Lonchura striata: one gene and its partners. The protein of the gene in region 1 purifies or fractionates together with the protein of each later gene. This does not show direct contact. Links are inferred from orthologs where the notes say so. Each region holds a gene or a part of one and is shown in the gene's direction. Other genes may lie near its edges.

What was found.
Region 2: the proteins of EXOC7 (region 1) and EXOC6 purify together in Homo sapiens (affinity purification with mass spectrometry; 4 studies listed by BioGRID and IntAct, counting the BioPlex papers as one, with this or other methods). This does not show direct contact. The link is inferred for Lonchura striata from reciprocal best matches to the Homo sapiens genes EXOC7 and EXOC6.
Region 3: the proteins of EXOC7 (region 1) and EXOC6B purify together in Homo sapiens (affinity purification with mass spectrometry; 3 studies listed by BioGRID and IntAct, with this or other methods). This does not show direct contact. The link is inferred for Lonchura striata from reciprocal best matches to the Homo sapiens genes EXOC7 and EXOC6B.

What each region holds. Positions count from the first base shown.
Region 1 is NC_134621.1:4,238,409-4,246,328, forward strand, and holds the start of EXOC7 (exocyst complex component 7), read left to right. Parts: upstream 1-4,920; 5' UTR 4,921-5,018; coding exon 5,019-5,078; intron 5,079-5,855; coding exon 5,856-5,921; intron 5,922-6,944; coding exon 6,945-7,129; intron 7,130-7,778; coding exon 7,779-7,884; intron 7,885-7,920. UniProt on the Homo sapiens protein: Component of the exocyst complex involved in the docking of exocytic vesicles with fusion sites on the plasma membrane.
Region 2 is NC_134609.1:17,132,824-17,140,103, reverse strand, and holds the start of EXOC6 (exocyst complex component 6), read left to right. Parts: upstream 1-4,267; 5' UTR 4,268-4,331; coding exon 4,332-4,453; intron 4,454-6,482; exon of another isoform or gene 6,483-6,538; coding exon of another isoform or gene 6,539-6,621; intron 6,622-7,280. UniProt on the Homo sapiens protein: Component of the exocyst complex involved in the docking of exocytic vesicles with fusion sites on the plasma membrane.
Region 3 is NC_134606.1:947,755-955,671, forward strand, and holds the start of EXOC6B (exocyst complex component 6B), read left to right. Parts: upstream 1-4,904; 5' UTR 4,905-4,908; intron 4,909-6,968; coding exon of another isoform or gene 6,969-7,329; exon of another isoform or gene 7,330-7,389; intron 7,390-7,917. Other genes in the region: homeobox protein EMX1, read right to left, coding at 4,687-4,871, 6,969-7,329. UniProt on the Homo sapiens protein: Component of the exocyst complex involved in the docking of exocytic vesicles with fusion sites on the plasma membrane.

The sequences.
Region 1 (7,920 bases):
TGAGGCACAATGCAGGGGACAGAAAGTCCCCTTTATCCCCTACTATTAATTGAATTTCTCCAAATCTTGTCAAGATCACGCTTTGCCACCATAAAGGCAATCAGTAGAAATAGGAATTTGGGGGGATATCTGGGTCTATCCAGCAATTCGCTGCCAAGCCCCGAGCAGGCAAAGCAAAACCCCTCTCTGCCTCAGTTTCCCCCCTGCTAATCCAGCTCCATTTTCTTTCCAGTGGCATTTTTGGGTGGCCAACGCCCTGAACACGTTGTCCTCGGAGAGAAGTGACTGTCACGTCCCCGCCAGCAGGTGCCACTTCCTCATGCCTGTGGTGGTGCAAACTCCCGTTGCCGAACAACAGAGCTCCGACCCCGCAGCCTCCAAACCCCGGCGGCGCCGGGCTCCGATCCCAGCCGGAGCCTTGGAATTCGGAGCACTGGAACCAGTTTTGTTTAGCAAATGCACTAAAAGGGACTCGTTAACTCTCTTATTGCCAACCCCCAAGCGAGCACTGCACTGAGGATGCGATCCTTAGTCAGGCACTGCAGTGGTTTTGGTTTGCTAATTTGAGATTTTGTTAGTTTTGAGATTTTTTTTGGCTAATGTAGTGTTGAGTGTGGTGGGTTTAGCGCTGGTTAATCCCTAATGTACTAATTTTCTATTGTGAGGTGGGATTAGGAGAAAAGTAAAGTAGGTTTAAAACTTTAAATGGGTATAAAAAAATGATAGAAACTTATAATATTAAAAAATAAAATATAAAAAATATAATAATATAACAGTATAACATCATAATATAATATAATATAATATAATATAATATAATATAATATAATATAATATAATATAATTAACATAATTTAATAAAATAATATATATAATAAAATATAATAATATATAATATAATAATATGTAATAATATATAATAATAAAACTGAAAGAAAGCATAATAAGAATTAGAACAAAACCTTTAGAGTATTTCTCTTCTCTCAATAACTTTTTTTTTACTGATAATGTAAAGGAATAAAACTTAAAATTTTAGTCAGCTTATTACTTCTAAAATAGTCTTTTTGTAGCTCACTTAGGGAATAAAACTTTACATTTTAGTCAGCTTATTACTTCTAAAACAGTCTTTTTTAAGCTCACTTAGGGAGAGAAACCTTCTTGTTACTGTTATGGAGACTTCTTTAAAAGAAAAAAAAATAGCTTTTTGTGGCTCTCAGTTTCTTTATGACTGGTAGTTCTTTGGAGAAATCTGTAACTGTGAAGTGTTTCTTGTTTTACTACAGGCTTTTCTCACAGCTGGCTGAATTTCCCACCTTTTGTGCCGGTGCTGACAGTGGAAATCCCTTGTCCGGCGGGGGAAGCGGCGGCATTCATTCCCGTGTCCAGCGGCAGGCAGGGCTGGAGCCCGCGGGACGGCGGCGGGAGCGGCGGCGGGAGCGGAGCGGGGACGGGGCGGGAACGGGGCGGGAACGGGGCGGGAAGGGAGCGGGAACGGAGCGGGAACGGAGCGGGAACGGAGCGGGATTGGAGCGGGAACGGAGCGGGATTGGAACGGGAACGGAGCGGGATTGGAACGGGATTGGAACTGGAACGGAGCGGGATTGGAACGGGATTGGAACGGGAACGGAGCGGGATTGGAATGGGAACGGAGCGGGATTGGAGCGGGATTGGAACGGGAACGGAGCGGGATTGGAGCGGGATTGGAACTGGAACGGAGCGGGATTGGAGCGGGAACGGAGCGGGATTGGAGCGGGAACGGAGCGGGATTGGAACGGGAACGGAGCGGGAACGGAGCGGGATTGGAACGGGAACGGAGCGGGATCGGAGCGGGAACGGAGCGGGATTGGAAAGGGAACGGAGCGGGATTGGAACGGGAACGGAGCGGGATTGGAGCGGGAACGGAGCGGGAACGGAGCGGGATTGGTGCGGGATTGGAGCGGGACCGGAGCGGGATTGGAGCGGGATTGGAGGGGGATTGTCCCGGGACCGGAGCGGGATTGGAGCGGGATTGGAGCGGGATTGTCCCGGGAACGGAGCGGGATTGGAGCAGGATTGGAGCGGGATTGGAGCGGGATTGTCCCGGGAACGGAGCGGGATTGGAGCGGGATTGTCCCGGGACCGGAGCGGGATTGGAGCAGGATTGGAGCGGGATTGGAGCGGGATTGGAGCGGGATTGGAGCGGGATTGTCCCGGGAACGGAGCGGGATTGGAGCGGGATTGGAGCGGGATTGGAGCGGGATTGTCCCGGGAACGGAGCGGGATTGGAGCAGGATTGGAGCGGGATTGGAGCGGGATTGTCCCGGGAATGGAGCGGGATTGGAGCAGGATTGGAGCGGGAACGGAGCGGGATTGTCCCGGAGCTGCCGCTCCGCCGGTTGCAGCCCTGCTGGTCCTGCGGGCACTGGCAGCACGGGCGTGTGGTTTGCCCTGTGGTAGAACACGCTCTGATGCCTTGTGAAGAACAGACTAGAATAAATCGGGATTTATTAAGTGGCCTCAATAGATCCACCTCGGGCAGCACAACCCAAAATGGTCACAAATGCACTCTCTCACTTTGATAAATTCTGCTCCATTTGCAGATTGGAGTTTAACTCATGAAGTTCCATCCTTTTGTTTTCTCTCTTCATTCCATCTCTTGGGCCTGAGATTTGGATGATTTGTCCTTGGTCCCCAGCTGGGGAAAGATTTGTTTTGTCTCCCTACTCTGTACAGAAAGCTCACCATCCCCTCATATGAAACCTGCACTTACAAACTAAAGCAGAATAGAACCTTGAAAACCAGAAAAGCTAAAACCTGAGGCATCAGCTCAAACTGCAGCATTTGTACCCTTTCTTTTTCCTTTTACCCAAAATAACCCCTTGGACTCTTTCTGTTTGACCAGCATTATTTTTTTTTCCTGCTGCTTCCTTTTAGATGTGCTGCTGCACCTCACGTTTGCACAGAGTCCAGCAGTTTTTACACAATGCTGTGCATTTATTTCTGTATGTTTATTCACTCCTTAACATCCCACACAGCTGGCACTTGGGGTGGGTGTATCTCTCCGACTTTGCTCTAAGGGACTGTTGCTCCATGAGGGGTGAGGGGTCCTTTTGGGTGGGTTTTCAGGAAAGAAACAGCATTATTGGACAAAACACACACAACTGCTCCCCAGGGGAGGTTCCTTCTGGCTCGGGCTGCCCTTTGAATGAAGGGGTGAATGCTGGCAGAAAGAGCATGGAATTCTGTAAAGAAAGATATGGATCTGCTCTTCTGGGAGAAAGATCTTTCCCAATCACACCAGCCCAGTGTGGGGAAGCACAAAAGGTGCTGGGTGCTGAGCTTGGACAGGGATCTCCTCTCTTATACCCCCAAATCCCCTTTACCAGGTATCCCCACAAAACACAGGCAGGTGTTTGTGGCCACACAGGGGAAAAAACAGAGCCAGAGCTTGGGCACATGCGTGGGCAGCAGGACAGGGTGGGTTGTGAAATCCATTGTTGTATAAAAAAAATCTTCTCTCTGGAGCTCGGGGTGGCCTGACAAGGGGAAGATGGATGGGCACACACCAGTCCCTGCGTGTGGCAGGAGCCTTGGAGCGGGGCAGGGCAGCGGGAGCTGGGGCTGCAGGACCTGCAGGTGCTGGAGAAACACTCCCTGCTCTGGGCTTGGGTAGTTTAGGGACATGCAGAGCCCCCAGGGTGTGACACCCCGGCCATCCCCCCTGTGCTCTCCCGTGGGATAACCTTTCTCCCTAAGGGTGCAGGAGTTCACACTCACATTTTTATAATTTCACCTTCCTGAGCTCAAACCCCTGGCCTCCTCCACATCTGTTGTGCACAAATTCATATTTGTTACCCCCAGTGCAATAAACCAATTATGACACACTCAAGAGAGACGCTGATTATTTATTTCAGAGCTGAAGAAACCTGGGTGCTTGTTGGGACTCCACAAATCAAGCCATTACCACGGTCAAAACTTTTTACTATTTATGCATTTTAGCAAAGGAATTTGTGTTAATTGGCCGCAAGTTACATAGTTCTCCTATTAATGATTGTTATTATTCTATCTTCTGTTGGGAAATTATTCTCTTGTTTGCCACGCTAATTAGTCCATGTGCTCAGTCCTTCTCTTCTTTTGGGTTGGTGGGTTCCTTGGATCTGCCCCTGCTGAAATTACAGTTAGTCAGAGCTGATTTATCCTAATTGCTGAGTTGTTTTATAAGTTCCTTCCTTATCTTGGGGGTTCTGTCAAATGTCCTCATGGCCTGTAAATTCTGCCTTTTTTGTACCCACTATCAGCACATCCTTGTCCCAAGCTTTGTTAGCCTACCCCGAGATAATTTAAAAATGTCAAACCCTAAACCATAACAAGGCAATTCTACCAATATGCAGTTTGTTTTTCTAACACCTGCACATCACTTAGAACTTGTTGGCTGCTGTGTCTTTCCTGGATTAAATCTCCTTTATTGTCCATTAGGCTTGAAAGTACACAAAGATCAAACATCAAAGCACATCCTCTCTTAAGAAAATTTTACGCAACAGTGCCACGCTCAGGACGAGAGGACATAGCTTCAAGCTGTGCCAGGGGAACTTTAGGTTGGAGATGAGGAGGAATTTATTCACAAAAATTGTGATTAGACAATGGAACGGGCTGCTCAGGGAGGTGGTGGGGGCACTGTCCCTGGAGATGTTAAAGCCTGGACGTGACACTCGGTGCCATGTTCTGCTTGCCAAGGGGGTGTGGGGGCACGGGCTGGACCCGAGGATCTGGGAACCCAAATTAATTGATTTGGGTTCTGTGACCCATCGCGCCACTCCCAAGATGGCGGCGCAGCCCCTCCCGCCACCCCCGACATGGCCGCGGGCAGGGCAATGCGCATGCGCCGCCGCTCCCCGCGGGTCCTTCTCGCTCGGCGCCACTCTCAAGATGGCGGCGGCGCTCTTTGCGCATGCGCGGTGCGCGCCGCCGCGCCCGTCATGGCGGCGCGGCAGTGACGGGCCGGGCGCGGTGGGAGCGAGCGGCGGGGCGGCTGCGGCGCGATGATCCCGAGCGAGGAGGTGTCGGCCCGCAGGAGGGAGATCGAGGACAAGCTCAAGCAGGTGGGGGTGGGCTTGGGGCGCTCTGCGGGCGCTGCCGGGGCTTGGGGCCGGGCCCGCAGCCCCCTGGCGCTGCCGGGCAGGCGAGGCTGGGTCTGGCGGTCCTCACCGGGCCTGGGGGCGTCCCGGGACCCCTCAAGGCGCTCATCATCCCCCTGCTGGCTTGGGAGCACCCTCAGGTCCTCTTCAAGGCCTGGTTTGCAGGAATGGGGGTATCTCTGCTCCCCACTGTGGGCCTGGGTTTCCCCTCTGCGTTCTCGGCAGGGTCGGTGGGCTCTCCCCACAGTCAGGTTCTGTCCTGACAGGCTGCCATTCCCCTCTGCCTGTGGGCTTTGGGGTCCCTCCACCATCTGTGGGCTTTAATGACTTAAAACCAGCCCTTGGTGGCTGCTTTGCATCGGACACTTGAGTTCCCGGTGTGTTTGGAAGGTGCAGCACCTGTGTTGTGCTGTGGCAGGGAAATGTGTGCTGAGTCGTTGTGCCTCAATGGGAAAAGTGTTCATTTTATTTTGTGCTGTGTTTCCCTTTAATGCCCATAAAGGGAAACAGTGAATTCATAAACCTCCTGGCTCATTACATTATGTGTCCCCACCTTGGGTTACTTGCCCTGCTTTCTGTTAAGAGGTGGTAATATTAAAATGTGGCCACAGAATCAGCATCAGACCAAACATGGCTTGCAGCAGAGTTTACAAGGTTGGTAAAAACCTGTGTGTGCTGTTTAGTGACTTAAACCTTAGTGTTCAGAATTTTAGAGTAATTTCTTTTTCATCTTACTCGCAGGAAGAAGAAACTCTGTCCTTTATCAAAGAGAGCCTTGAGAAGAGTGACCAGCTCACCAAGAACATGGTAGGGATGTCCTTATGTTGGGCCTGGCTTTACTTTTTCTTAGGTTTTTAGGTTTATGAGTTTTCAAGGCTGTTGTGATGCCCATCTGAGGGATGTGGAGCAATGAACCACTTTGGACTTCAGTGACTGGGCAAAGGGGAAACCTGAGAAATGCTTCAATACTGAGCTTCTCTCCTGCTCTGCTGAGGGTTCAGATGAGCTGTTGGCCTCATCTCTGCTACAATCAGTCCTCTCTCTTGGGGAAAAAGTATTAAGAAACCTCAGATAAACAGCATCATGTTGTTGTTTCATAATTCAGGTTTTGTTTGGAGTTTTATTTTGCGAGTGTTCTGTGCAAAGATAAAAAGTAATTATTGTGTTGTAATTGCTTATAAGCCCTCAGTTTATATACTATGTCCAGTCTTGGTCTCAGTGCTTTAAAAAAGTCATAGAGGCACCACCAGAGAAGTGTGGAAAACATGACACAGGAGTGAGTCTTGTAGGAATTACCTTTGAGCCTAGAAAAGATGATTCTGAGGCACCCTTTTATGAGCTTGCTTTGGTTTTCCTCCTGTCAGCAGCACTGTCACGATCCTCTTTAAAAACCAAATGTCTGTGGTGCAAAAGAAGGTTCTCACTAGACTGGTACTTGTGCAGCTCCTGTTTGGGTCTCACTGTGGAGCAAAGGAGCTGCTGGTTTGTGATTTTGCTGCTCTTTTTACATGGGGCACCTCCAGGCAAGTTTCTGCGGCTTTATTTTCTGTTGGTGAATAAAATTTTGCTTGTCCTTTTTTCTGTCTTAGAACGTTATCTTCACTTTTTGGGATTGGCCCATCCCTATATGGCAGGTGATCTGTTTTGTGATTGTTAGTAAAAACTAGAACATAGAGGGGTGGAAACAGCTGCTAAGGAACCATGGCAAATTAGTAGCAGAGCCCAAAAAGAAAAGCTAGGCCTTGAAGATCCCTGACTTCCCTGCTCTAATTCCTACCCCACTCCATAGGAAGGAAGTCCTGAGCTGTTGGTTTCTCTCGTGGTGTGTAGGTTTCAATCCTCTCCTCCTTTGAGAGCCGTTTGATGAAGCTGGAGAACTCCATCATCCCTGTCCACAAACAGACAGAGAACCTGCAGCGCCTGCAGGAGAACGTGGAGAAGACCCTGTCCTGCTTGGATCACGTCATCAGTTACTACCATGTGGCCAAGGACACAGAGAAGATCATCAAGGAAGGGTGAGTTGAGCAGATAAATCCTGCTGGGAGCTTCATCCTGTTGGATTTTTGAGATAGAGGTGGGGGACCTGACTTCACACACCCTTGGTATGCTTGGTACCCTTCCCACATTCTTTCCTCAGTCCACACTGGCTTGACATTCAGCCATTTCCACAGGGCAAAGACAGCTCAGACTCTGTACTGGGATCTCTTCCAGATCTCTCAGAGGTGCTCCCATTGCAATCTCCATGAGCAGCGGTAGCTTTTCTGTTGTCTTCTGATCTTTTCCCAAAGCTTTTCCTTGCCCATTGAAGTTGTTACTACATCCAGGATGTACCAGAGCTGTTCTGGAGCCTCCTTGTCTGGGAGGGTGTTGGATGGTTCTTGTCTGAGATGGGATGTGCAGTTCCCTCTGCCTTCCATCAGGGCCTGTCTGGGAGAGGAAAGCAAGGCTGAGACTTGTGTGCTGCTCCATCACCAGTGCTGCTGCACTTGCTGTGTGGGTTGGGTATCCTGCTGTGGCACTGAGTGCAGGCAGAAGGGAATTCCTCCTAGCTGAGGAAAAGGGGATTGTTGTTTTTATCCCAAGTCTGGTCTGTTGCTTTCGTGTTATTTTGTTTGTTTGTTTGTTTCTTAGGGCACTACCTTTTATTTCTGGTTTTATTTTTAGCCCCACGGGGAGGTTGGAGGAATACTTGAATTGCATGGACAAAATCCAGAAGGCAGTGGAATACTTCCAGGACAACAACCCCGACAGCCCGGAGCTGAACCGTGTGGTGGGTCATGGACCTGGAACCTGTGGATGAGAGGGG
Region 2 (7,280 bases), on another chromosome or scaffold:
CAGGGCAATATCTGTAATAGAGCTCTTCACTGCCTATAAAGAAGCAAAGCCCTCAGGCTCCCAGGGCATGTCCTTGACTCAGGGTTTTAGTCAATGCCTGTTCCTTAAAAGTACTGGTAAGCAGAGAGAAAAAGATGCATCAGTGTTTTGTAGAATGCATTTATGCATTTCTAGAATGATAAAGATGCTACTTTGTAGCATCATTCAAACGGTATGCTAAAAAAATATGGTTTGTATGTTGCAATGAAAATGAAATAGTACTTGTTCTTCAATGGCATCTCTAGCATTATATAAACACATGCAATGACAGTGACTCTCCTTTCCACTGCAGTCAGACAGAAGTGCTTCTGTTCAACCAGTAGGTTTGATGCCTTTATTGACTCTTAAAAAGATAACATCAGCACCAGCTGTGGATCTCTCCAAGTATTTTTAGGCACTTGTAAGATGTCAGTGAAATGTCAAAAGCAGTTAGTGATGCACTGCACACCTAACAGGAGAGATATGTGCTGTTCTTACAATTTACCATAAAAAGCCCCTATGTGAAATAGAACATTGTTTATTTGGTATTTTAGTGAAGATTGTTACGTACACTGTCCAATTCATAAATCTAGTATAATTAAAACGAAAAAGTCAATGTATTTATGATTTTGACTACAATTCAGAAAACATAATTCACTTAAATGCTCTGGAAAGAAAAAAGGTAACCTCCCTGCTAATACCTAATGTACTCACTATATATTAGGCAAAAAGTTAAAAGGTAAAAAATGGCAGCGGTAATTCCATCATCTCCTCATCTGCCTGTTTTCCCCAAGAATCATTTGATAAGGTTGTTGCTACCATGCTTCATCTGAGAGGCAGAAATGGGTCTGGCCACCAGAAAACCAGGCACAACGGGAATGGGAGCAGTTCAGTTTCTAGGGAGAAAGAGCTGGTTTGCAAGGATCCAGTCTGGGGATGAGCCCAGGAAAGAAAGCAGTAGCAGAGCAGGAGATGCCAGAGAAATGACTAATGGCATTGTTGTCCTTGTGGAGGGATGTAAAGAGGAGATATCTGGGCAATGACCAATGAAGTAATTTGTTATGGATGGCATTGCATGTGAAAATTATCTATAGTAATTCCATTTGAGGGTGGACATTTTCCCTCTTCTCTCTTTTCCATGATTCATTCAAAATGGATTCCAATCCAACTGGGAAAGCAAATGAAACAGACTCAAAGCTGCTAATTGTGTACTGGCAATTGTAAAAAAAGGAAGTAATCTACACTGGAATTGCATACACAGTAAGGACCCTACTCTACAGCACTTTATACTTTTTGTAAGGTCATGTGGGTAAAATGTATTTTTAAAGTATCAACATAGGCAGGCAAGATTTAAACCAGCAGTTCTTGGCCCTCTGGTATCTCATTAGGGTTGGGGAAGAGTAGGAATTAGGGGAGGAAGGGGAGAAAGGACGTGGTGAAAGTGGTTTTGCTTTAGACAAGCCTTTGCATCCTGTTTCACAATATTGTTGATAATTTGCCTCAATTTCCCCTCTTGCTCTCTTCTGAGCTGCAAACTGTTTTTACACCTTCAGCATGAAATAGGTGCTTTGGATCATTTTTTCAAAGGAAAACCTCAGGATGATTGGAAAGATGGCAACAGCTCTACATCTTACAGGGCCTGAGATTTCTGCCTATCCAGATAATGAAATACTTCCTTCACAGAAATAGTGTGAATTTAACCAGCACAGAAGATACCTTCTTATTTTTCTGCCAGGAACTTCTAGAAGATTAATACCTTCTCAGGCTTCTTAACTTGGTTAAATCTGAACAAGTACAAGTATGATACCTCAGAAATGATAATGTCTACTGTCCTTTTCTGCATGGAGAAAAAAATTACTTAGCATTGTCTTTGGTGACAAACTATTTAGTTGTAGCCTCCAAGTATGTTGTGTATAGTTGTGAAGCAAAGATACACTGTTCTGCCAGAAGCGGATGTCAAGTGCCTATACTGAATTTGTCCCTTTGTATTTTTACAAAAAATACTTTATTTCCTTGAACAAGGCAGTTCCCTAAACCTTTTGAGAGTGGCCCTGAGCTCAGCTGGAAACAGGAAAAGCTCCTGTGTGACTGAAAGATGTAGATGCTGGGCACATCTAATCAGCACTGGAATTATGGTGGGGAGGAGCAGATGACAGAAGTGGGGAAGGGGAGCAGAGGCTGGACAGACAGCACAGGGTAGAAGCAGGGTCATTGCAGCAGAAAGGGCTTTTGGCAGGTGTTAATGTACTGCTGCCCATGATCTCAGGTCAGATACAGATCCACCACTGCACCTTGGATCATCCTCTGGGTGTCATGGTCTTAGGTTCAGTGGGGGTGAAAAACACCCTGGAGAGCTGAGCAGCCAGGCCTGGTGCAATTTGGTCTGATCCTGTCCAAAGAACCAAGGTACTTCAACACCCTCTGCCACAACTGAAGAGACTCTAACATCTGCCTATTTCTTGGTCATTCACCTTTGTATTTGTTTGCTTCTTCTTACATTGTTTTGCTTTGTTATTAAACATATTTATTTCCAGGCAGCTGCGATACCAACAAGAACATTTGCACAACAGATTCAGAGTCCTGTTTATTTTGGTTAGCTGATTTCCTAAAGCAAGCTACTGTTTAAATTTTTGGAAGAGGAGGAAAAAGAAATTTCACCCAAAGCCTCTGTAAGAATTGAACTAATTTAAAATCACGTATTCATAAAAGCATTTTGTATAAATCGTCATGCTTCCATCACTGAGTTCTATTTTGATTGCCAGCCACAGTGTGTGCTGGCTGGGTGTAGATGTCTGAGGCACCTCTGATTTACCTGCCCTGCCTCTGCTCTTCCACAGTGGCAGTAGATGTACTTTCTTCCATCACACGAATAAGCTTAAGCTTGTTATAGTATTTACAGTTTACTTGCACAGTGTCACCTCATAATTGTTAAATTAATTCTGAATCTGGTGACTGTTAAGATTAGAATGAGTAGTTTCAACATCATTCCCTTCATCTGCGTTTGTGTGACATCCAGTGGCTGAATGGGTCAATCGCAGGCTCTCATTTCTGGTGAAAAGTGTAAAAATTACTCACAATTCCACGTAGAACATGAAAGCAGGAAATGTATTGCATAATAATGCTAACAGAGCAATTGCTTAATTTTGGTTCAAAAATAAACCGGTGGTTAAAGCAGCTTGTTCAAGGAAAAACATTGCAAATCTGTATGTAGCCCTAACTCACTGCAACCTTTAGTGCTCCTTCCCACTGCTACTGATGTGAACCCATCTCCTCATTGTTCCCACTGGGCACAGAGAAGTGAATAAACTGTTTATCACTCTGCTCAAAAGTGAGTAAGCTCTGTTTCCTTGCACTTAACTGCTGACTGCACCACGAGTGTCTGGATTAATCAATTCTGTCAGGACAGCACTGAGATCAGGAGCCAAATTCTGATTAAAACCTTTGAAATATTTATAAAAAACAAAATATATTGATTATCCAAATGATATTGAATTAGGCTTCTAAACAGTTGTTTAAACTTAAAGATCTAGAACTCCAGTCTCATGTTTGAAATTAAAGTAATCCATGGCAGTTGTGCAAAGTGTTTTCTTTGCCATCATCATGAAAATGATGTGACAGCAGCACTACTCTCAACATTTGTTATCCATTTTTTTCCATGCAGGTAATAAATTAGTAACAGCTTTTTTTTTTGCTCACACATATAAACCCAACAGTTATCACAAAGCTTTTTCTGCAATTTATTATTATAAATAGCAACTACTAATGCTGAAAAGGAAAATTATGAGAACATAAATGTTTCTGTTTTTCTAATCTGCTTTAGGAGATCCATAAATCTTTTTCATAAATCCAGCTAAGTCCTTGTGTGCAAGCTTTTTATATAGCAAAAGGAAAACCTAATTAAAAAAAAAATAATCTCATAAAACTTATCAGAGTAATTAAGCATTGATGTCTAGTGTCTAAAATTCCTTTAAAGTTGTGTTTTCAAAACGCCTAAATTTCAGGTTTAATATTTATTTCAAGAATGCAAAAATATTATTTTGGCAGGAATTTTGTTGTTAAGACTAATATGTATTAGGCACACACACACAAAAGAGACTGTGCAGCCCTGGGTAGTGCATAAGAGGCAAATGATACCAGCAGACAGGAAAAGAGCAGCTGTGCACCATTCTTGGACACAAAGTCCTCAAGAGTCACGAGGTTAGCACAGGATCTTTTTTTTTTATGCTTGGTTTTGCTGACTACGGTCACTTAGTCAACTATAATAATCAGAATAAAAGTCCTCTCCTAAAGTTAGATTAGTTTTATCCTACTCTATGGCAAGGAAAAGTAAGTCAAATCTCTCAGAATTTTATCTAGAAGAAAATAAAGATCAGATATATGAAAATGCCCTTGCTGAGATCCAGTCCTTTGAGCTGCCTCTTGGAACCACCTTAAGGTATGCTTCTTTTTTTAGTATTATACTCTTTATGATGGATGTGTTCCATTCTATAGTTGTTCTTTCAGTCAGCACAATATATTAGAAACTTTGTTTTCCTGACCCTGAAGCCTACCAGAAAGTTGAGCTTAATTTCAATGTGATTGGCCCTAAGTGAAAAACTACAAACCAAGGTCACCTACTCTGCTCTTTCTTTTCACCTGGACAAATTGATCTGTTTCTGATGGCTGGCTGCAGATTTGTGAAAAAAGAAAGTGTTCTCAAAAATGAAAACAAGGTGAAATTTTCTTTTTTGCGTAACAGTGTTTTAAGTTTAAAGTTAACAGCTACATTTTTAAAGAATTAAGTGCTTCTTAAATTTTTAATAAATGAAACTTCTGTTTAATCACCAAAGACAGAACTACTTAAGGTTTTACTGCTGATATTTCTAAATAGCTGAAGATTTTTTTTTTTTTTTATTTGTAGCTTACGGAAACTGTTTAATGGTAAAAGTGCAACTGAAGAAATTCCTCTGCATATTTCTCCTTTAAAAAGTAATATATATAAGATTGCAATGTAATTTGTCTCAGTATATTGTCAGTATTTGTAGAAGAGTTTTAAAAATAGCCTGCCTAGCACTGTAGGCGTCAGGTTGCATTAACGATCAGGCTAAAAAAAGAAAATTAAATATACCCTGAAAAATGTGTCAATCTATAACTTCAGTATTTTGGTGATGGGAAAAAAAAAAAGAAGAAACGTGGGAAAACTGTTACAGCATTTGAGTAATTTCTTGAAGGAAATACAAGTGGTAGGATTTTTCCCTTTTTTTAATTATGCACTTTGTAAGCACTTGTCTACATTCAGAATAGTCCTTGTTGATTTAGTAGGTGAATCAACAACCTGAATCAACACTGAATATGATATAGGCACAAGCATAGACAAGATGTGCACTGTCTTCGGTGCCATTTATTAACTCGTGTACAGGTGTAGTTGCACCAGGGCAGGAGAGATGATGGGCTTGATAACAATAACTGGAAGGATGCCAAATGCAATTGTAGACTTTGATGCATTCACATTTGTCAAATGTTGTCAGTTCCTTACTGGAAAATGTAGCTACACATCACCCTGAAGTTTTACATATCTGGCCTATTTCTTCACAAGAACTTCCCACTTGTGTGCAGATCATTTTGCCCAGAAAGCAGGTGCATCCTGTCTCCTGAACATGCAAAACCCAAGAATTAATTAATCCCTGGCCACAGGCCACGAAGTGTAAAATTTAAATAGAAAATAGGTTATTCCTCCTTCGTTGACACAAGACGCTTTGCTGTACAAGGCATTAGGAAACACTATGTCAGTTTCTAGTCAAACAGCAAGCCACTGCATATAAAGGTGCAAAACTTTTTTTTGTCTTGGTTTTGTTCTATTTTTACCCCGACCCCCAAGTTTCTATCACGTAAAGAATGGAAGGAATGAAGACTGACATAACGTGAATGCAGAAACCCCCGCAGAGCTCAGGGCTCGGTGCCTTCCTCCCTGCCGGGACGGGCACAGCCCGCACGTGCGGGAGCGGTCGAATCAAAACAAACCAAATAATAATAAAAAAACAAGACCACACCATGAACTAGCCACAAGACCAAACCAGAACTAGCTCAGTGGAAAAGGTCGTGTTGAACCCTACAAGCCTTCAAGGCGTCTCTGCAGCGCGGTGCGGTGGGCGGGCAGCCGGCCCGTGCGGGACAGGGGCCGCACTTTGCGCGTCCCTCGTTTGCCACAGAGCCCTGAGCGGGCCGCAGGGGCTGAGGCCCGGCGGGCGCAGCCGCCCGCGGTCTCTGCCGGACACCAGCGCTCAGAGATGCCGCGGGGACGGAGCGGCTTTGCCGGACTCCCCCGGCCTAGCCCTGCCGTGACAAGGGCAGCGGAGCACCGCCGAGCCGGTGCAAACCCGAAGGGCGCGGCCCGGCTCGACCTGCGCCTCGCCACCTGCCCCTGCCCCCCGCACCGGCAAACCCTCCCCGGCCGCTGCCGCCGGCCCCCGCCGGGCTCCGCCGCCGCTCCTCCCTCGGCGTCTCCCGCAGCGGCGCGGCCGGCGGGTCCCTCCCATCCAAGATGGCGGACAGTCTCCCCGAGCATGATCGGATCCTGCAGGAGATCGAGAGCACCGACACGGCCTGCGTGGGACCCACCCTGAGGTGCGGGGCGCGGCGGCCGCGGCGCCGCCGGCGGGTGAGGCTCCCCCGCCCTGCCCGCTCGCCGGCCCGGGGAGCCGCGGCGCGGCCCGGCCGCGCGTTCTGACAGGCGCTCCCCGGGGACGGCGCGGGGCCGCCGCAGCGCCGCCGGCGGGAGCGGCCGCGCCGGGTGCGGAGGGGACGCGCAGCCCCGCTGCCGCTCCGTGGGGGCCCGACCGCCGGCCCCCGTCCCGGGCGCTGCGGCGGGCAGGGAGCGGGGCTGTCAAGCCGTGCCGCCGCTCTGACAGGGAAGGGGGGCCGAGCTCCGGCTGGCCGCTCCCTGGCATTGTCAGCCGGGGCAGTAGCTGGGCACGGCCCGGCTCCGGCGGGGCTGGCGTGCGGCCTCGGGACGGCGCGGCCCTGGTTCGGCGCGGATGGCCGGGCTCGGGGCGCCCGCCGTGCCCAGTGCCGGGCTTTGCTGCCCGCCCTTGGGCACGGCTCAGCTTCGGGGTGTGCCGGTACCCCCGGCTCTGTGCTGAGAACGGGGCCGAAACCGAATCATGGGTGGGTGTTGTATTGCTCCACTGTGCAACCTCTAATGATGCGGTCTGATACCTACTAGTCCCTGGTCAGTTTGCTTGGAAATGTGACGGTGTTTAGAAGATTTCTGGTATGCCATGACT
Region 3 (7,917 bases), on another chromosome or scaffold:
GGGCCAGCGCTGCACCCCCGCCTGTCCTGCTGTCCCTGCGGGGACTCTCCTCCTGAAACACCCCAGAACCTCCCGGGTTTGGTTCTGGGGACACTTCTCAGGGGACACTGCCGGCCCGGGGCTTCTCACGGGGCCGCTCTGCTCTATCTGGGCATCTTTCTCCTCCTGTGATTCCCAGGCATTTGCTCTGTTAATTATTAATTATTAATTACAGCCAGCACCGAGCCCCTGGCCGGGGCTGCTCTGTCCCTGCAGGGGCAGCTCCAGGAGGGGACACTGGGATATCCAGTAATTCCATAATCACCCCAAAGTTTGAGGGACACTGGGATATCCAGGGGTTCCATAATCACCCCAAAGCTTTGAGGGGGACACTGGGATATCCAGTAATTCCATAATCACCCCAAGGCTTTGAGGGGGACATTGGGATATCCAGGGGTTCCATAATCACCCCAAGGCTTTGAGGGACATTGGGATATCCAGGGGTTCCATAATCACCCCAAAGCTTTGAGGGACACTGGGATATCCAGGGGTTCCATAATCACCCCAAAGCTTTGAGGGACACTGGGATATCCAGGGGTTCCATAATCACCCCAAAGCTTTGAGGGACACTGGGATATCCAGGGGTTCCATAATCACCCCAAGGCTTTGAGGGGGACATTGGGATATCCAGGGGTTCCATAATCACCCCAAGGCTTTGAGGGACACTGGGATATGCAGGGGTTCCATAATCACCCCAAGGCTTTGAGGGACACTGGGATATCCAGGGGTTCCATAATCACCCCAAAGCTTTGAGGGGGACATTGGGATATGCAGGGGTTCCATAATCACCCCAAGGCTTTGAGGGACACTGGGATATCCAGGGGTTCCATAATCACCCCAAGGCTTTGAGGGGGACACTGGGATATCCAGTAATTCCATAATCACCCCAAAGCTGAGAGGGGACACCAGGACACTTGGAGACCCCACAAGCACCCCAAAGTTCCCTCTGCAGGAGCCGGGGGAGGTCTCTGCTTTGGGAATGCAGATTTGGGGTCCCAGGTGGGGTTGGCCCCACGAGCTGCCGGGCCTGGAGCGGCTCTGCTGGGAATTCTGGCTCCGGATGCCAGGGGAATCCAGGGAAGCGCCTTCCCAGCCCCGGCTGCTCCCCTGGCAGGGGAAGTGACCTGGTGCCCCCGGCGCTGGCACTGCCAAGCCGTGCCCACCCCGGCAGGACACGGCACGTCCCATTCCCAGCACACAGCTCAGATCCCAGCCCGGCACAAAATCCTGGAGCACCAGAGGGGCTGGGATCCTGCTGATCCCAGAGCACCCACAGTGCCCGGGATCCTGCTGATCCCAGAGCATCACAGTGCCCGGGATCCTGCTGATCCCAGAGCACCACAGTGCCCAGGATCCTGCTGATCCCACAGTGCCCGGGATCCTGCTGATCCCAGAGTACCACAGTGCCCGGGATCCTGCTGATCCCAGAGTACCACAGTGCCCGGGATCCTGCTGATCCCACACAGTGCCCAGGATCCTGCTGATCCCAGAGTACCATAATGCCCAGGATCCTGCTGATCCCACACAGTGCCCGGGATCCTTCTGATCCCACACAGTGCCCAGATCCCTGCTGATCCCAGAGTACCACAGTTCCCAGAATCCTGCTGATCCCACACAGTGCCCGGGATCCTGCTGATCCCAGTGCCAGCACAGGGCTGGGATCCTGCTGATCCCAGTGCCAGCACAGGGCTGGGATCCTGCTGATCTCAGTGCCAGCACAGGGCTGGGATCCTGCAGATCTCAGTGCCAGCACAGGGCTGGGATCCTGCTGATCCCACATCCACCACCCTGCCCAGAACCCCCTCCACACCCCTCTCGATGCCCCCTGGGTCACACCCGTGTCCCCATCCCACCCAAACCCCCCGGTGGCTCCCCTGGCTCAGAGCGTCCCACACTCCCTCCGGAGCCCTCTCTGCGCCTTGCCCATCCCACTTTTGGATTTCCCTCCGGGCCCCGAGCTGCCTTTTGCTCCCCCAGCCCCTTTGATTTTGCTCTTCCGGGCCTGCTGTTCGAATTTGACCCCGAATTCATGCAGCTCCTCGTAGCACAGCGGCTGGGAAGGGGTTAAACCCCGGCGCCATCCCCCCACCCAAATCCCAAAACATTTCCCGATGCTGGGCAGGACCCGAGCCCCTCTCACCTCCCCTGGGCTGCTCCGGGTGCTGCTCCCTGGCTGGGGACCCGGAGCTGGCACAGCCCGCGGGGCAAAATTCCCTTTTCCAGAGGGAAAAGCCGCTGGGAAGCAGGGCCAGGCACAGCCCTGAGCTGCAGCCCGGCTGGGAATTGTTAAATCCGGGAAAAAACGGCAAACCCCCCCAAACTGTGGCTTTGGGTGTGGAGCCCCAGGTGAAAACACACCTGTGGCACACCAGGATGGGTGTCGTGGGTAAAGCGGGCTGGTTTTCCGTGGAAATTTGATTCCCTGCAGGATTTATCACCGAATATTGAATTAATAATGATTATAACAGTAATAATATCCTGGGTTTGGCACAGCCACCGGCCCCTGGCTGTCCCGCTCCTCCATCCCAATACCCGGGTGTCTCCCATCCCTCGGCACACTGCGATTATTTCCCTCCAGGTAATTAGAACAAATTTTTCTTTAAAAAATGATTTTTGCAAAGCCACAGAACAGAAGGGAAAAGCGTTTCCGCGCTGCCTGAAGCCCCCGCGGCCGGAGCCCTGCCCGGCCCCGCCGCCGCCTCCCCCGGTCCCGGCCAGCAGCAGCAGCTTCCCAAAACCATGCCAAAACCACCGCGCCACCAAACAGGCTGCAGCAGACAAAAACCAACATTTCAAATATCCCCGCGGCCTCTTGGCGCTCTGAAACCTCCCCGGGGTTGGGGTTGGATGCCGCATTTCCCCAGTAAATGGAATTATTGCCTTCAGGCTCCAGGCAGTGCTGGGGAATGGTGAGCTGCCCCTGGGGCATCCCGCAGCTGCCCTTTCCACCCCGACAAGTTGCCGGCTGTTCTTTGACCTTTGGGGTTTGTCCTTTTTTCCCCTTTTTTCTCCATTCCAGCCCGGGAGGTGCCGGGAGGGTCGCGCTGAGCGGCGGGCTGCGGCTCGGGGCAGCAGCACCCCCGGGACCCCGACAGCCGGGGGTTTTGGGGCTCCGTCCCTGCTTCCCCGCATCCCCAGCCGCTCCTCGCCGCTGTCCCCGTGCCGGGGACATTTTCCTCCCGGGCGCTTCCCGCTCCCAGGGGCGCGTCTGGAGGTTTTTGCTTGGCAGAGCCGGGGCGAGGACGGGCCAGGCGGGCACTGGGAACACCCACGGCTCCAGCTTCATTTCCCAACTAAATGGAAGCTTAAAAATTCAATTGATTCAGCGCACAGGCCCAACCGCCTCACCAGAAATTGGGGGAAACTTTCTCACTCCGCTCAGCTGCTGGGTGAATATCCCGGGAAATAAAACTCCTTCTCCCGGAGCGTTTGGGAACAGCCGCTCACCGGAACACCAGCTCGGACACACAGAGATGCTCAGCCCCAGCTCCCACGTTCTCCCCCGGCTCTGTGCACTTTTCCTTTCATCCTTCTGCTTCTCCTGGGTCTCCTTACATCTCAATTCCTGGGGATTCTGATCCCAGAAAGTCTCATCCAAAGCCGGCGCCCTTCGGCAGCACCGTCTCCACACCCATCCAGAATTCCGGGTGTTGGAGCAGAGCCCCGGAGCCGCTCGGCTCAGCCACGGGTTTCCAGCTCTCCGGGGAAGCCTCCGGGCTGCTGCTCCTTTCCACGCAGGATTTTCCAACCCACAAATTGCTCCCAGGGAAAAACCCCAAACCAGCGAGAAACAACGCCGGGAAAACGCTCCGGAGAGCCGGGACAGCGCCAGAGCCGCATCCCCAGCCCCAAACCTGCCCCAGCTTCTGGAACACCCGAAAGCTGCCCCAAAAAACCCCAAACCCGCCCCGAGGAGCCCGGAACAGCCGCAGCATCTGGGGGTGCTGGGCAATCCCGGCCGGGGCTTCACACAGGAGCGCTGAGCGGGGCTGGTGCCGCTGCCAGGGCCGGGACACGGTGGGACGGGGTGGGACAGGTGGGGACACGGTGGGGACACGGTGGGGACACGGTGGGACACGGTGGGATATACGATGGAACACGGTGGGGACACGGTGGGACACACAATGGGACAGGTAGGACACAGTGGGACATGGTGGGACAGGGTTCGACAGGGTGGCAAAGGTGGGACATACGATGAGACATGGTGGGACGCACAGTGGGACACGGTGGGACATGGTGGGACAGGGTGGGGACATGGTGGGGACATGGTGGGACACAGTGGGACATGGTGGGCCAGGTGGCATAGGTGGGACAGGGTGGGGACACGGTGGAACATGGTGGGACACGGTGGGACAGGGTGGGGACACAGGGGAGTACACGATGGGCCAGGTGGGACACGGTGGGCCAGGTGGCACAGGTGGGACAGGGTGGGACACGGGGTACACGGTGGGACACACAATGGGACACGGTGGGACACATGATGGGACACGGTGGGCCACACGATGGGCCAGGGTGGGCCAGGGTGGGGACACAGTGGGGTACACGATGGGCCAGGTGGCACAGGGTGGGACACGCGATGGCCCAGGGTGGGGACACAGTGGGACACACGATGGCCCAGGTGGGCCAGGCCGGGCCCGGGGGCAGTACCTGCGTCTCGGAGAGGCTGAGGCTGCTGGCCAGCTGCTTGCGCTCGGCGCCCACCACGTAGTGGTTCTTCTCGAAGGCCCTCTCGAGGCGCAGCAGCTGCGACGGCGAGAAGGCCGTGCGGATGCGCTTGGGCTTGCGGGCGAAGGGGCCGTGCAGCAGGAGGCTCTCCTGGGACACCTCGCTCCCTGCGGGCACACGCGGAGCTCAGCGCGGCCCCGGCGGCTGCCGGCCCGGCTTCCCGGCCCCGAGACACGGGAGGGGAGTTGCGGGGTTTGGGGAGCGCTCCCCGCTCCGAAATTGCGGCGGTTGTGCCGCGTTCTCCCTCCTGGATGCTCTGAGCCCCGCGGCGCCAAAGGGAGGGGAGGGAGAGAAAAAGGAAGAATGAGAGGGAGAAGGGATGGATGGATGGATGGATGGATGGATGGAGAGAGCAGCAGGAAAAGGAGGTGGGAGGCAGAGAAAAAACTGAGACGGAGAGAAAAAGAAATTATAAAATAGGAGGAAGACTGAGGAAGTGACGGGAAAAAATAGAGAAGGAAAACTGAGAAAGAAAAATGTGGAGGGAAGACAGAAGGAAAGAAAGAGGGAAGGGGACAAGGAAAGAGAGGAATAAAGTGGGAAAGCAATTTTAAAAAGAGGGAAAGAAAGAGGAAGAAAAAATGAAGGAAAAGAAAGTGAAAGGAGACGGAAAGAAAGAGACAATAAGTGGGAAAGCAAAAAAGAAAAGGAAGGAAAGAAGCAAAGGATAACGAACGAGAGCAGGAAAGCTGCAGAGCAAGCGAGCGAAACAAGGTAGGAAGAAACGAAAGCAAGAGAAGAAAAGGAAAACTGAAGGCGGAGAGAGAAGGCAGGACCCAGGGAGGGCTCGGGAGAGCGGCGGGCCGGGCTCGGGGGCCGTGCGGGACCCGGAGCCGCTCCCGGGGCCGGAGCTCCGGGCAGCGGCCGCAATCCCCGGCGGAGCCCCGGGGACAAACGAGGGGTTGGTGCCGAGCAGATAAAACTAATCCGGGCTGCGGGACCCCCCGGCACCGCGGCGGGACAGAGGCGACGGCGGTGCCGGGGAAACGGAGAGGCAAAAAAAGAGAAAAGAAAAACGGGGCGGAAAAAAAAACGAGGGAAAAAAAAAAAAGGAAAATGCTAAAGGAAAAGATGCAGCTAAAGAAAGGAAAATAAAGAGGATAGGAAGGAACGGAGAGAAAGAAAATAAAGATACAAGATATAGAGACAGAATGAGAAAATTAAGAGAAAGAAAGAAGGAACGAAAGAGAGAATGAGAGAAAGAGAGAAAGAGAGAAAGAAAGAAAGAGAGAGAGAAAGAAAGAAAGAAAGAAAGAGAGAGAGAAAGAAAGAAAGAAAGAAAGAAAGAAAGAAAGAAAGAAAGAAAGAAAGAAAGAAAGAAAGAAAGAAAAAGAAAGAAAGAAGCAAAACAAAAAAGTGAGGAAAAGAAAGAGAAGGAAAGAAAGAGAAGAAAGAAAGAGAAGAAAGAAATTAAGAGAAGAAAAGGAATCGAAAGAAAATCTACGGAACCAAACAACATCTCTCTGCGGAGCCGAGATCCGCCGCACCGAAATCCTTCCCTTCGTTCCCGGGAAGGAGAAAACCAAATTCCCGGCTCGGCTGCGCACGGAGGCGGCGGCGCCGGTCCCGTCGCCCGGAGCTCCGCGATGCTCGGCCGGGACTCTGCGGGGCTCTGCCCGGCCCCGGCCCCGGCCCCGGGGCTGCGGGAGCGCTCCGGCCGCGGCTGGGCAAAGGCACCGGCACCGGGTGCTCGGAAGCACCGAGCGCTCGGAATGACCGAGTGCTTCAAATCACCGGGCGTGCGGAGGCACCGGGTGCTCGGAACCACCGGGTGCTCGGAATCACCGAGTGCTTCAAATCACCGGGCGTGCGGAGGCACCGGGTGCTCGGAACCACCGGGTTTTCGGAAGCACCGAGTGCTCGGAGGCACCGGGTGCTCGAAAACACCGGGTGCTAGGAGGCACCGGGTGCTCGGAACCACCGGGTGCTAGGAGGCACCGGCTGCTCGGAACCACCGGATGCTCGGAACCACCGGGTGCTCGAAATCACCGGGTTCTCGGAAGCACCGGCTGCTCGGAGGCACCGGCTGCTCGGAGGCACCGGCCCCGCCGCGGAGCGCCCGGGGCCGCGGCCGTGCGTGCGGGCACGGCAGCAACAGGTCTTGGCCGTCAGCCGGGCCCCCGAGCCCCGGGAAGGAGCCCCGCGGCCCCGCAGCCCCCGGGGCCCCGCAGCCCCCGGCCCGCGCCCCCCGCGGCCCCGCTCACCTTGGAAGCGGTGGCCGAAGAAGCGGTTCCGCAGCACCCAGGGGTAAAAGTTGAGCGGGTCGCGGTGCTGCGGCCCGAAGAAGGGGTGCGGGTGCGGCAGGGCCGAGCCCCCCAGCTGGGGCGGCCCGACGGGCAGCGCCGGGTGCCCCACGGCCTCGGGGAAGACGAGCTCGGCGCTGCCGTACAGGGCCCGGCCGGCGGCTCCCTGGAAGCCGGGGGCGAAGGCGGCGGCGTCGGCGGCGGCGGCGGGGCCGGGGTAGGCGAGGGCGGCGGGGCGCGGGGGGTCCTCGGGGCCCAGGGGGGCGTCCTTGCCCACCAGGGACTCGATGGTGAAGCAGCGCTTCGCGGACGGCTGGAACATGGTGTGAGCCGGGAGCGGGGGGGGGGCCGGAGCGGGGCCGGTCCTGCGGGTGCGCGCGTGTGTGCGGTGTGTGTGTGCGTGCGTGTGCAAGAAACCTCCCCCTGGGCACGGCACACACACGCGGACCCGCGCCCCGCACCCCTCCCTCCCTCCGCCCCCGCCCCGCCGCCCACCCGCGGGCGCCCACGCAGCCCCGGGCCCCGGGCGGCCGCTCCGCGGGCGGGCGGCACCGGCGGGGCCGCCTCACCTGAGCCCCGGGCCCGGCGGGGAGCCCCGAGGCAGGGCCGGGACGGGAGAGCGGGGATGGGCCGGGAGAGCCGGGAATGTGGGAACGGGACGGGAGAGCAGGGATGGGATGGGAGAGCCGGGAATGTGGGAATGGGACGGGAGAGCGGGGATGGGCCGGGAGAGCCGGGAATGTGGGAACGGGACGGGAGAGCGGGGATGGGATGGGAGAGCCGGGATGGGATGGGAGAGCCGGGATGGGATGGGAGAGCGGGGATGGGATGGGATGGGAGAGCCGGGATGGGGTGGGAGAGCGGGGATGGGATGGGAGAGCGGGGATGGGGTGGGAGAGCGGGGATGGGA